Caenorhabditis elegans: one gene and its partner. The protein of the gene in region 1 purifies or fractionates together with the protein of each later gene. This does not show direct contact. Each region holds a gene or a part of one and is shown on either strand. Other genes may lie near its edges.

Region 1 (4,266 bases):
TGCATGTACCTGTAGTTGAAGGAGCGCATGCACAAAAAGCTGTTGGTGCTACTGAACATGCTTAAAAGGTCAATCAATCTGGGGGTACATTTTGAACTTACTTGCCAACACCGCAATCAATACATTCAACAGCATGTCGTGGAACGGAAAAGCTAGGGAAATGTTTCATTTATGGGATTAAGAATTGCAGTCCTTATCAGTTGAAGTGATTATCAATAATCCTGTACGCTTAAAAGACATTGATTATTGCATTAAATGGGCTAAGCGGAAAAAGTATTTTCGGAACCTTGTATTTGAATTTGACGGTGAAATTTTAAAACGAATGAAAAAAAAACTAATTTTTTATTTCAAATATTGCATAATAAGTAAAACAATTTATAAAAGATACACAGTCAAAAAATAGTTTTTTTTCAATAATAATTTGCTTATAATCTGTTGTCCTACCAAAATGTTTAATATACCAAATGTTGAAAACGTCCCAAAAAAGCTATTGGCAATATTTATTTCAAAACCCTTTTTTCAAAACTTTTCATGAAGTTCCCCATCGCCACACCAATAGATTGTCATATACTATACCGATGGCATTTTCTCAGTAATAAAAATTTATTCTTATCACAAATGATAATACATAGTTAAGATTGAATGACAAAAAGTTAATAATTTGTTTGTATCTGACATCATTTCGTTTTATTCGACTCATCCGATGATTCCTCCGCTATATGGCACTGCAAAAAAACAAAATCAATTTTACTAGATTTCACAATTTTCAAGTTTCACTTACAAACACATCTAGCTGCACATTGAGGGAATCGAGTAAAAACATTGACTCTTGAGTATTCACAAGCCCAGAACATGGCATCGTTTGATTTTTCACCACAGTTGTTTTTGAACTGAGTTTCGAAGCAAATCAAGTACTTATTGGCTTGTCTGTAAGTTTGGTTGGCGTTTTTTAATAATACCCGATGGTCTTCTTACGTGCAAGCCTGATTTGCGTCAACGTCACTGTTCACCTCATAATCTAGTCGGCATTGTCTCAGGACATCACTTTGGCTTCTCCAAGTAGTTGACATACAGCCCTCATTAAGGAGGTATGCTGAAATGAAGAAAGTTACCTCGTTACGGTTGGAATCCATTAGTCTGTATAAGGCGCTATTTTTGTGTTAATCGATTTCTGATCTCTGAGCAAATTAGGAATTTATAGTAAATGCGCAGCCGACTTCGGTTGTGGTCAGCGATGGACCTATTTCCCATGTATATCATATTTTCCTGCGTCTCTTGAATGTTTTTTTTAAACCTAATATGTGCTAGTATTCATGCCTATTCTAATCATAACTCAGAAATTCCTCTAAGAGTCTCATAATGTGTATAAATTACCACAGCAGCAAGCCCCAGAAAGTTTGATTTCGACACTCCCCGTGTTTTCCACCTATTCTAGAAACTTCATACCATGCCAAAAAGATGTGTAATTGTGTACTCAACAAAATTCAATTCCGACATCGCGTCGGGAAATGACAATAAAAATTCATACTTTGCAATCCAGCTCCACAGACAAAGTGCATTTGGTTGAACAGTCCAACAAATTGATAAGCGTTGAATGGAGTGGCCGATACAGAAACAAAATGGACCGCAGACATGCAGTTCGCGTATTCAGAGCCCATGCAAACTTTAAACTCGCGGAAAGCTCTGGAATTATATTCAGGATTCGAGAGAGAGTATCTAGTGAAGTACTGACTTGCAAACTTTACGCATTCCACTGGGTCCTTGAGCCTGGTAGTTTGTCTCCACCTAAATTTAATCAATAATTGTGTTTTGCTCTTTTTTCTGATAATCAAAAAATCAGATTATAATACAATCATGATGACATAATTAATCCCATTGACTTAAAAGTTATCATCGACACGTTCTAAACCTCACATTTCACATTTCACTATGCACACCCTTCGTCATATCACCTTATTCAGTTATCATTTCATGGAATGGCAAGCGTGGAAACTATTGTATTAAAAACTTGCCTCCTTGCGGAAGTTTTCGGGGTCAAACCATGGCTGTGGGTCGCTGATGCTCAAAACCGCATTGAGAGCAGTTTGGCACTCAAAATAAACCGTCGAGTCACAGTTTAGACCGGCTGATTGGACTCCTGGAATAAAAAAATAAGATTAAAACAAATATTTCACAAGTTTTAATTTCAATTTACTTACCTGACAATCCAAGAATCAACGCAAGAAATGGCAAACACCGGTCTTGCCACATCTGAAAGCATAATGTGAGCACAAATATGTATTTTTAATTTTGCAAAAAAAAACACACACACACACAAAGTCAGAAGTATTCAATGCATTGAAGCATTTCAAACGAAAACAAATTTTTGAAATTAAAAAATTATGAATTAAATTACATAGATTTATTCCCAAAAATGTGAATTCAAATAAAACATTTTGACCAAAACAAAAAATGGAGATGATTAAACAAAAGACGATCAGACGCGTTCGTGGACTGAAAATAAAATAAACATTATTTAAACCCCATCCCATTCTGAAAACCTACATGTGCAGAAAATCTGAGAGCACTGTGGGAAGAGAAGATTGGTACCGGTACGCTCGTAGTTGCAACCCCAGTAGGCCATCTCTGGCTTCTTACAAGCGTTCCAGAACAGTTGGAAGTAGCAGTTGGCTGCGATCTCAACGTATCTAGAAAGTTAAGATTATTCATTATTCTTTTTGATTGGAAACAAAACTTGAAAACTTACGCGCAAGCTTGAGCTGGGTCAGCCATGGACTTCACGTTGAAGTCATTGTCGCACTGTCTCATTGCAGCTGTCTGGTTGTTAAAGACAGAAGAGCCGCAAACTTCAGAGTTGGCAAAGACTGAAAATTCAATTCTAGTATTCAGTATTACAGTATAATTGCTAATCTTACTCGAGAATCCAGCACCACAGACAAAATCAAGTTGGTTCCAGATTTTTACGTATCCATTAGCCTGATCCTGTGTGAGTGGGGCGCCGTTGTTGCTGAAGAACAGACAAAAACTGTTACAGTATATATTGAATTGAGAACTTACTTGGTTCCAGTTAGAAGACCGTATGGGTTCTGAGCACATGCGTAGAACTGTTCTTTTGGTTGGCTATAAATCAGTTGATTTGAGATGTAAAAATTAAAGGATCAAAGGGTGTTCCGTTTTTAAACTCCCACTAGGCTTTAGTTTCAAGCCACGAGCCATTAGTGGATTCCTCTAATTCCCAAGCTAGGTTGGGTGATCCTAGGGAAAGGCAGGACTTGAACTAGTGGTCTCATGATTGCTTGCGATCACCACACTACCGACTGAGATATTCCCGTCGCACATTGTGAATCTCACAACATTGCAAACTATGTCACTTACTAGCACTGCTTGTACTGCTTGAAGGCATCGCAAGTTGTAAGAAGCCCGTATGCTTGGTTATTGGCATACGACTGCTCAATGGCACTTCTCAAGTCTTGATATTTGGCAGCACCGAGAGAAGCTGAAACACCAAAACTTTTGTGCTTAATTCTATTTTTCAGTTTCATTACCATCAAATCCCAAAAGTTGATTGAACTGACTCTGACAAACATTTAGCTGGTTATTGATATCGCATGCCGTTAAACTTGGGTTTTGTGCCGCCACAACGCCTGAAACTTTTCATTGGTTTATTTTTTAAGGTCATGTCTCTCAGTTTTTTCCCAGAACTTCTAATAGGTTGAAAAATAATCGAGCCTGGAATGTTTGGTTTCTAAAAGTCGTATCCAGTGCCACCGTACATTTTCTTTTTGATAAGAAAATGCCCGCCGCTAGTTGTGACGCAACTAATACCAACAATCACATTAGATTTAGGAAATTACAGTAGTCTAATACTTGTGCAGATTTCATTTTGGGAACGTTCCCGATCTTGCAAAAGTTACTTAGTCATAATAGTATTTAGGCGTTACCGGGCAACACGTGGAATTTTTCGTTATCAAAACTGATGATAAGTAAGCAAAAGCAATCCGGTTAGTGCAAGACTTAATTCTGCCAATCTAATAACTGTGGAACGGTCTTGTTTAGTTTTGAATACTTGTAAATGATGGGGTAAAGGCAATGAGAATGCGAGAATCAGGAATTGAACGAAATTTTGAAAAAGAGAGTGCCTAGATAAATCGTTGTGAGCAATTGACATTTGAACTATGAATTTTTGAAAAATCGGTAATCAAATAAATAGTGCCTAGTTTTTACTAGAATTTCGATTAAAAGCGCTCCATGATACAGAGAATCTGT
Region 2 (8,243 bases), on another chromosome or scaffold:
CAAAAAAATGCCAAGTGAAGAGCACAGCTGAAAACAATGTGAGCATATGAAAAAGCTGAGGAGAAACCTAATATCTTGAATAACAAATACCCAAAAATAACAAGTTTCTCATTGGAAAGTTGGGCATGTTTTTGATATTATTCAATTAATTTAATGAGGTTACCAAGTGTTGAAAATACGTTATTTGCGTGGTGGGAAAGTGTAGCGGAACTTGAATTGAGCACTAGATTTATTTCCGTTTTGTCAGAAAAATGTAAATGTTTTTGCTTACCTGCCCCCTACCTATCTGCCTGCCTACCTACCTACCTACCTACCCACCTACCTACCTACCTACCTACATACCTACCTGCCTGCCTGCCTACCTGCCTACCTACATACCTACCTATTTACGTGCTTTCGTGTTGTTTTTCCTCAAAACATAGTTTTTTCATCCGTTTCTCGGTATTGTTTCTGTAGCAAACACAATCTGGAATATTATTATTTTGGAGCTGAAAATATACAAATATTTTCAGCCTTAAAAACCTTATCACCTAGTGGTTTTTGATCAGCTTACGATTTAAAATAGCCCGGAAACGAGGTGGTGGGGGTGGAAACGGAAATTAAATATTGTTGGTTATGAAATTTGAATTGAGCAAAAAGGAAACGTTGATGATTCGTATGTATTTTATTTTAAAATTTTAGAATTAGGGAGGTTTCCAGAAAATTAAATTGGCGATATATAAGTTGTCCAATTTTAATATCTTGTTATTATACAAATTGTTGTATTTTTACCATTTCAGTGGCAATTCTGATAGCTTTTTCTCTAAGTTGACTGTTTTTGGACCATGTATTTTGAACATATCAGAATGATGAAATATCGATCTCAAATGCTCGGAGAGAATAAGAATGACTGGCAACACTGGTACCGACTGAACACATTGAACACCAGGGACGTACAAACTGTTTTTAAAAATCAGAATTTATTAAACCATTTAAGAGAATGCAATACATGAAAAATAATTAACAGATTGAAAACAAAAGTAAACATTAATATTAGTTGATATAAGTAGGAAGTGTTGAACGAACTGCAACGTATCCCGCCATCATTCTTTCAAATAAACTGAATTCAACCATTCGTGTGGTTCCATGAATGTTTTGAATTATAAAAGCTGGTTCACCATTTTCTAATACAATTTTCTCAGATAAATCTTTCATGATTGAGGATGGGTTCGAGTGCGGCGATTGACTTTCAAACTTATAGACCAGGAAGTTTAACCCTGGATTCCATCCATTTTTCCAGTGTTTGATTATTAAAGTCAAATCTTTTTCAGACAAAATTGTTTTCCCGCATTTAAGTGAAGGGTTATCCATTACTAGCAAATCATTTAGTGTTACAGGAATGTATACAAAAAGACGAAGAACGCTTTGAAGTCCAACTAAATTTTGTCTTGTTACATTTGTTTCGTCCTCAGACCACAATGATACATTCTCCACGTGAGGCAGTTTCTCAAGTAATTCATTGATCCTAGTTGCTCCGTCAATTGTTACCTCTTCAACTTTCAATCCATCAAAGTTTGTTTGCGTGAACTTTAGAAAGTGAGTTGCAATGTAACGGCAATATCAACCATATGAACTGTTGATATTTTCAGCAACTGCATCAAATGATCTATCAATCCTCGCGTGCCAAATATTTTTGATATTTTCCATTCACATGTTGGAACTCTTCGACTACCGTCAAACGTTCCGAATTCGAGATGAAATGTGCCATCGTCCATAATGTGGCATGAAATCGAATGACGATATCGCCGTCTATACAAGAATTCAACAGTAGCTGTGCGGGAAAACTCGATTGAAAATTGACCTCTCCATGGACCCCTCTCTATAGAGACTAATTAATTAGTTGAACATTAATTATGATTTTCGGAGAATTGCGAATTTATGAATTATATTTTTCCATATAAATATTTTCCAAATTGCAAAAAATGTTTCATTGTGGATCAATTTGAATTCGCAACTGAACGAAACAGTGTGGCAATTGAAGAGACGGCAGACATTTCTGTGCATACACCGTGACGCGCAAATGCACACATCTCGAATTTATTGTGTTTTCCTCTTTGTTCGAGTTTTTTTTTCTTTTTTCTCATTATAATCCTCAAAATGCTCGGTTTTTCTCGATTTTTTTTTGTTTTTTCAATAAATTTACTTAATTTTCAACATTTCAGATGTCAAATGACAAAACTCCGCTAGTTTTGTGCGAAGTTTGCGTGCGACAAATCTCTGGAGACGCGGAGGAAGTGACAAAATGCGAAAATTCTTTCGAATGTCAGCTTTGCTTCGGGATTATGGATCAGGCAATGATTGATGAGGTTATAACTCACGATTTTTATACAAAATATCCATAAAAATGCTTCAGGTCGGCGAAAAAGTGCAAGAAGAGCTCTCCAAGCTGCCCTACGACTCGATGAGCTTCATTTTGGCGTTGAATTTGCCCGTTGGACAGACTTTAAGGTGATTTTAGAATCATTGTTGATTTTCCGCCGCCAAAAACTCGAAATTTAAATTTTTGACAGGGAGATTCTAGTAAGCCGTCTCCGACCGGATTTCAATGGGACACTGGCTTCTGTTCCGTATAAAGTGCGAAATATTGATGGATATTTGAAGAAATTGGGCTCTGTAAGCTTAAATTACCTAAAAACGACTTTTCCACGAAAAAAATCCATTTTTTTTTGTTAAATTCGGAGTTTCCAACGTTTTATACCCTCAAAAATCAATAAAAACTTGGAAAATGTTGAAAAATTGCTTCAAACTCCAATTTCTACCTTCAAAACTTAAATTTTGAAATACTGAAGCCATTTTTCTAGGAAAAAATATGAAAAATCGCATTTTTGGAATTTTTCTACTTGAAATTCCAAATTTATCGTAGAAAAATGCATTTTTGAGCAAAAAAAAATCCGTTTTTAGCTAAATTTTACACATTTTTTGCACTTTTGAGCAGAATAATAGTATTTTTTGAAATATTTTCAAATTTTTTACAGTTTTTCAGAATTTTATGCCCTGAAAATCAATAAAAAGTTGGAAAATGTCGAAAACTGCCTTAAAAATTGCCAAAAACTCCAATTTTAGAGTTTTTTGAGTCAAAAATTAATAAAATTTGCAGTATTCCGGAAAACGACCAACTCTGAGCTCAGATCTCCAGCTTATGATCACTTTTGAGCAGGAGGAATCGAATTTTTCGGATCTACAATTTCTTCAAAATCAATTTCCGAACGATTTTCGTGTTGGAAAACGTGGAAGATATAATAATAATCAAGAAGCGCCGTCGAGTGTATCAAAACAGCAATTACAGCAGGTCACTGGCAGGATTAACGAGCAAATTGCAAAGTAATAGCGGTGGAAACCGACGAGAAAATAGGAAATTTTGCACAAAAAATGGGTTTAATAAGTTGGAAAATGTCAAAAACCCTCGATTTTGGACCAAATTTCAGCTTAAAAATTGAATTTTGAAGCTATTTTTCCACAATTTGTCTGAAAAATAGCTCAAAACTTGAATTTTAAAAGTTTTTAGCTATTTTTTCGGCGAAAAAACGATGAAAATTCCAAAAAAAAACTCTTTGTTCGTTATTTTTAACGGAAAATTTCAAATTTATCGTTGAAAACCCCACATAAAAATCCTTTTTTCACTGAATTTTACAATTTTTGAACAAGAAAAACTATTTTTTTAAACAAAAAAAAAAACCAATTTTTTTCGCTAAATTCGGAGTTTCCAACGTTTTATACCCTCAAAAGTCAATAAAAACTTGGAAAATGTTGAAAAATTGTTGCTTCAAACTCCAATTTCTACCTTCAAAACTTACATTTTGAAATACTGAAGCCATTTTTCCAAGAAAAAATATAATTTCTAACGGAAATTCCAAATTTATCGTGGAAAAACCCCACATTTTAACTAGAAAAATGCATTTTTGAGCGGAAATCAATATTTTCAAATTTTAAACAATTTTTCCTTTTTTTTCTCCGAATTTTCACAATTTCAGGCAAAAACCTGTCAAATATTGCAGTTTTTCAGAATTTTATGCCCTGAAAATCAATAAAAAGTTGGAAAATGAATCGAAAACTGCCTTAAAAATTGCCAAAAACTCCAATTTTTGCCGATTTTCGACCGAATTTTCAGCCCAAAAAGCCTATTTTCTCTAGAAAATTTCATATTTAACGTTAAGGGCCCATTTTAGAGCGAAAAATAGAAAATTTAAGACAATTTTTACATGAAATTTCCGAATTTTTTGCGAAAATTCCAAAATTTATCAACAAAAAATCCAAAAAATCCGATTTTTTTGTTGAAAAATCGGAATTTTCCCGCAATTTTTTCACGATTTCGACCTAATAAAATTCTCCAAATTTCCGCAATTTTCCCCAAAAAATCTGAATTTCAGCTAAAAATTGTGTGAATTTGAAAATTTTCACGTCAAAAAATCTGAATTTTCACGACGATTTCGACCTAAAATTCACCAAATTTCACCAATTTTCCCCAAAAAAATCCATATTTTCTCTACAGAAAGTACATCTTCAAATCGCCAACCCGTAAATGCACATTTCAACTTCAATTCGAACGAGATCCAGTATACATTGCTGGAAGATATTGTAAATATTCAAGATGTCTACCACAATCACCGTGGAGTGAGGATAAAGATGCTCCGAGAGAGCCCGGAAATTCGGTTCGATTTTTGAGTGGAAAATTGATGGAAAATTGATGGAAAATTGATGGAAAATTGATGGAAAATTGAAGAAAATTCCACTTGAAACTTGAAAAATCTGGAATTTAAATTTTGAAAAAAATCTAGAAATAACCTTCAAAAATCGGAAAATTCATAAAATTCCGGTGAAATTTCTTCAAAAAAAGCTGAAAATTCAGCGTAATCAACTAATTTTCGAGCCTTTAGAACTAAAAAAAATCGACAAAATCTCATTTGATTTTTCCCGGATTTTTTTAAAATGAAATTACCCAAAAAATGCGAGTTTTTCAACAAATTTTCGACTGTTTAATGAAATTTTGCTCTGAAAATGCAATTTTTGAAGTTTTTTTTTGTTTAATTTTAAAAAATCTATAAAAACCTTTTTTCTGGAGCTTTTGAAATAAAAAATCAACATAAATTTAATGAAAAAATCTAGAAAACATCAAAATTTTTACCCAAAATCCACGGAAATCTCTAAAAAATTTAGAATTTTCATGTTTTTCGGCCAAAATTAGACACATTTTCGACAATTTCCAGGCGAAAAATTGAAGAAAACCCAGTTATCCTGCCAAATTTCCGGGACAATTTTTTGGAAAAATCAAAAAATTCCAATTTTTTATCTGCATTTTCAGATTTGTAATGGAATTTTCTAAAGAAATATTTCTGCTTTTTCTGAATTTACTACAAAAATTTCATTTTCCCCTAATTTTCTGGGAAAAATGCAGATTTTTTTTTGAATTTTCTGGCCTTTTGGAAAAAAAAATTCGGAAATTTCAGTTTTTTTCGAATAAAAAATCTAGAAATGTGAATTTTTTTTGCAAAATAAAGTTAAGATTTTTTTGACTAAAAAAAAAATTAAATTCTGATGTTCTGACCCCTCAAAAATCTAAAAAAAATTTGAGTTTTCAAGTTTTCTGAGCAAAATTTCAAGAAAATTTCCAAGAAAAAAAAAAAAAAAAACCCCTAATTTCTGCAAAAATTCGGTGAAATATTTCTAGAATATTCTATAAATTTAAAAAAATTGAATTTTTCTTTTTTAAAAATTTTTCTATAAAAGTTCCAAAAAAATCGGTTTTTTTTTAGTTTTTAGGGAATTTATAAAATTTATTTCGAAATTTTTCAAAAATTCCAAGTAAAATACCAATTTTTTTTGGAAGAAATCGAAATTTTACCAAAAAAATCATTTCTTACCAAAAAAAAAAGTTTTTAAAAAAACTAAATTTTTTGACGAAAAATCGAAATTTTCAGGAAAATCGAATGTTTTACCGGAAACTACAGTTTTGCCTAAAAACTATCGATTATTTCAAGAAAAATGTCAATTTTACTGAAAAAATCGCGATAATCCGGAAAAATTTTCACATTTATATGAAAAATGGGGAGTTCTACCAACAAAAAAAATCAAAATTTTACAAAAAAAAAATCGAAAAAATTGAAATTTTGAGTTTTTCCCCTAAAAAATCAAAAATTTTTAATTCGAAATTTTTGCAGGTTTCCGAAAAAGTGTGTGACCTCCTGAAAAAGCAATTCGGAGCCAGTGATAGTCGATTCGTGACGTCAGGACGTGAGGATATTGACGTCAGAATGCTCGGAACCGGCCGCCCATTTGTCGTTGAGCTCCGAAATTGTAGAACGACGGCTCCAGTGAGAGGAATCAAGTATTTGGAGACACTGAAGACGGTTCAGGAGGCTATAAATGTACAGAAGGATGTGAAAGTCGTGTCGCTGACCAGAGTTCCACGGGATGTTTCTGAGAAGCTGTGTGTTGGAGAAGAAGGTGCATGCACAATTTTATGGAAACAGAAAATGGAATTTGGAGCAATTTGAACTGAAAATTTGCTGAAAATATTATTTTTTCAGCAAAAAAATCAAGAAAAATCGGCAATTTGTACCAAAAAGTCGGAGAAATTGAACGATTTTCTGGAAAACTAGAAAAAAAACTAAGAAAATCCGAAAATTTGGAGCATTTCGGACTAAAAAAAATAGCTGAAAACAGGGATTTTTCGGCAAAAAAATCAAGAAAAACCGACAATTTGTACCCAAAAAATCGGAGGAAATTGCACTTTTTTTTTTTTGGAAAACTAGCAAAAAAAACCAAAAAAATCCGACAATTTGGAGCATTTGGGCCTAAAAATTACCTGAAAATACGATTTTTCAACAAAAAAAACCAGAAAAATCGGCAATTTGTACCAAAAAGGTCGGAGAAAATTGAACTAGTAAAAACTAGGAAAAAACCAAGAAAATCCGACAATTTAACGCATTTTGGACAAAAAAAAATAGCTGAAAACAGGGATTTTTCGGCAAAAAATTCAAGAAAAACCGACAATTTGTACCCAAAAAAGTCGGAGAAATTGAACGATTTTCTGGAAAACAAGAAAAAAAAAACTAAGAAAATCCGAAAATTTGGAGCATTTTGGACTGGAAAATTGCCGAAAATACGGATTGTACCCAAAATTTGCAGATATTTATGAAATTTTCTGTAAAAAAAAAATCCAAATTTTCAGCAAAAATATCAATTTTACAAAAAAAATTAGAGTTTTACCAAAAAAATGGAGAAAAAAAATCCTTTAAAATAATGCCTAATCTCAAAATTTTTTGCAGACAAACGAAAGCAATATTGTGCCTACTGCTACAGTATTCTCCCAATTTCTGACTCCCAATTCACCGCTGCTCAATCGAAAATCCCGCTGAAAATTGTTCAAAAGACGCCAGTTCGTGTGATGAAGCGTCGAGCTCTACTCGACAGAGAACGATGGATTTATTCGATGAATTTCTTAAAATTGGACGATCACCACTTTGAAGTTCGTCTCGAGACCCAAGCAGGAACATATATCAAGGAATTTGTTCACGGAGATTTTGGAAGGACGAGGCCTTCGCTTGCCGAGCTCCTTGACGTTGAGCACGGAGAAGTTGATATTTTGGAGCTGGATGTGGAGAAAGTTGATTTGGAATGGCCACCGGAGCTTAAGGATGGACAGGAGCCCGTTAAATTTCGATAGAAAATATTGAAATTGAAAATTTCGCACAGAAATTTTGAATTTTTGAGAAAAATGTTTGAAAGGGCAAAAAAAAAAAAATTTTCCTGATAATTCAAAAAAAATCTGAAAATTCAGAAAAATTTGGTTTTTATAGGATTTTTCAATTTTCAAATTTTTTTTGGATTTTTTCCAGAAAAGTTATGAAAAATCTAGATTTTTTCGGTTTTTTTAAATAAAAATTAGCTCAAAAACTTCATTTTTAACGCATTTTTCTTCTAAAAAATTCAGCGAAAAAATCTGAAATTTCCTAGTAATTTTACAGAAAAAATATGAATTTTTCACAGAAAATTCCGAAAGATTAGATATTTTTCTAGAAAAATTGGAAAAAAAATTCGCACAAAAAATTCAGTTTTAACGCATTTTTCTTCTAAAAATTCAAAGAAAAAATACGAAATTTCCTATTAATTTTACCAAAAAACTTGAATTTTTAAAGAAAATTCCGAAAAATCTGATTTTTGTTTGAAATTGAGCAAGCCATTTTTCTTTCCAAAATTTGAAAAAA

The links.
Region 2: the proteins of nspg-13 (region 1) and Y48C3A.20 fractionate together in Caenorhabditis elegans (co-fractionation; one large-scale study listed by BioGRID). This does not show direct contact.

The regions. Positions count from the first base shown.
Region 1 is NC_003284.9:5,253,178-5,257,443, reverse strand, and holds nspg-13 (DUF19 domain-containing protein), read right to left. Parts: upstream 2,251-4,266; coding exon 2,199-2,250; intron 2,138-2,198; coding exon 2,013-2,137; intron 1,786-2,012; coding exon 1,733-1,785; intron 1,684-1,732; coding exon 1,529-1,683; intron 1,094-1,528; coding exon 976-1,093; intron 928-975; coding exon 782-927; intron 726-781; coding exon 697-725; 3' UTR 589-696; downstream 1-588. Other genes in the region: nspg-12 (DUF19 domain-containing protein), read right to left, coding at 1-51, 102-135; nspg-14 (DUF19 domain-containing protein), read right to left, coding at 2,477-2,493, 2,545-2,687, 2,747-2,864, 2,916-3,007, 3,058-3,120, 3,376-3,496, 3,546-3,644.
Region 2 is NC_003280.10:13,367,406-13,375,648, forward strand, and holds the start of Y48C3A.20 (tRNA pseudouridine(55) synthase), read left to right. Parts: upstream 1-2,201; coding exon 2,202-2,345; intron 2,346-2,392; coding exon 2,393-2,487; intron 2,488-2,549; coding exon 2,550-2,652; intron 2,653-3,136; coding exon 3,137-3,360; intron 3,361-4,528; coding exon 4,529-4,688; intron 4,689-6,194; coding exon 6,195-6,480; intron 6,481-7,304; coding exon 7,305-7,702; 3' UTR 7,703-8,243.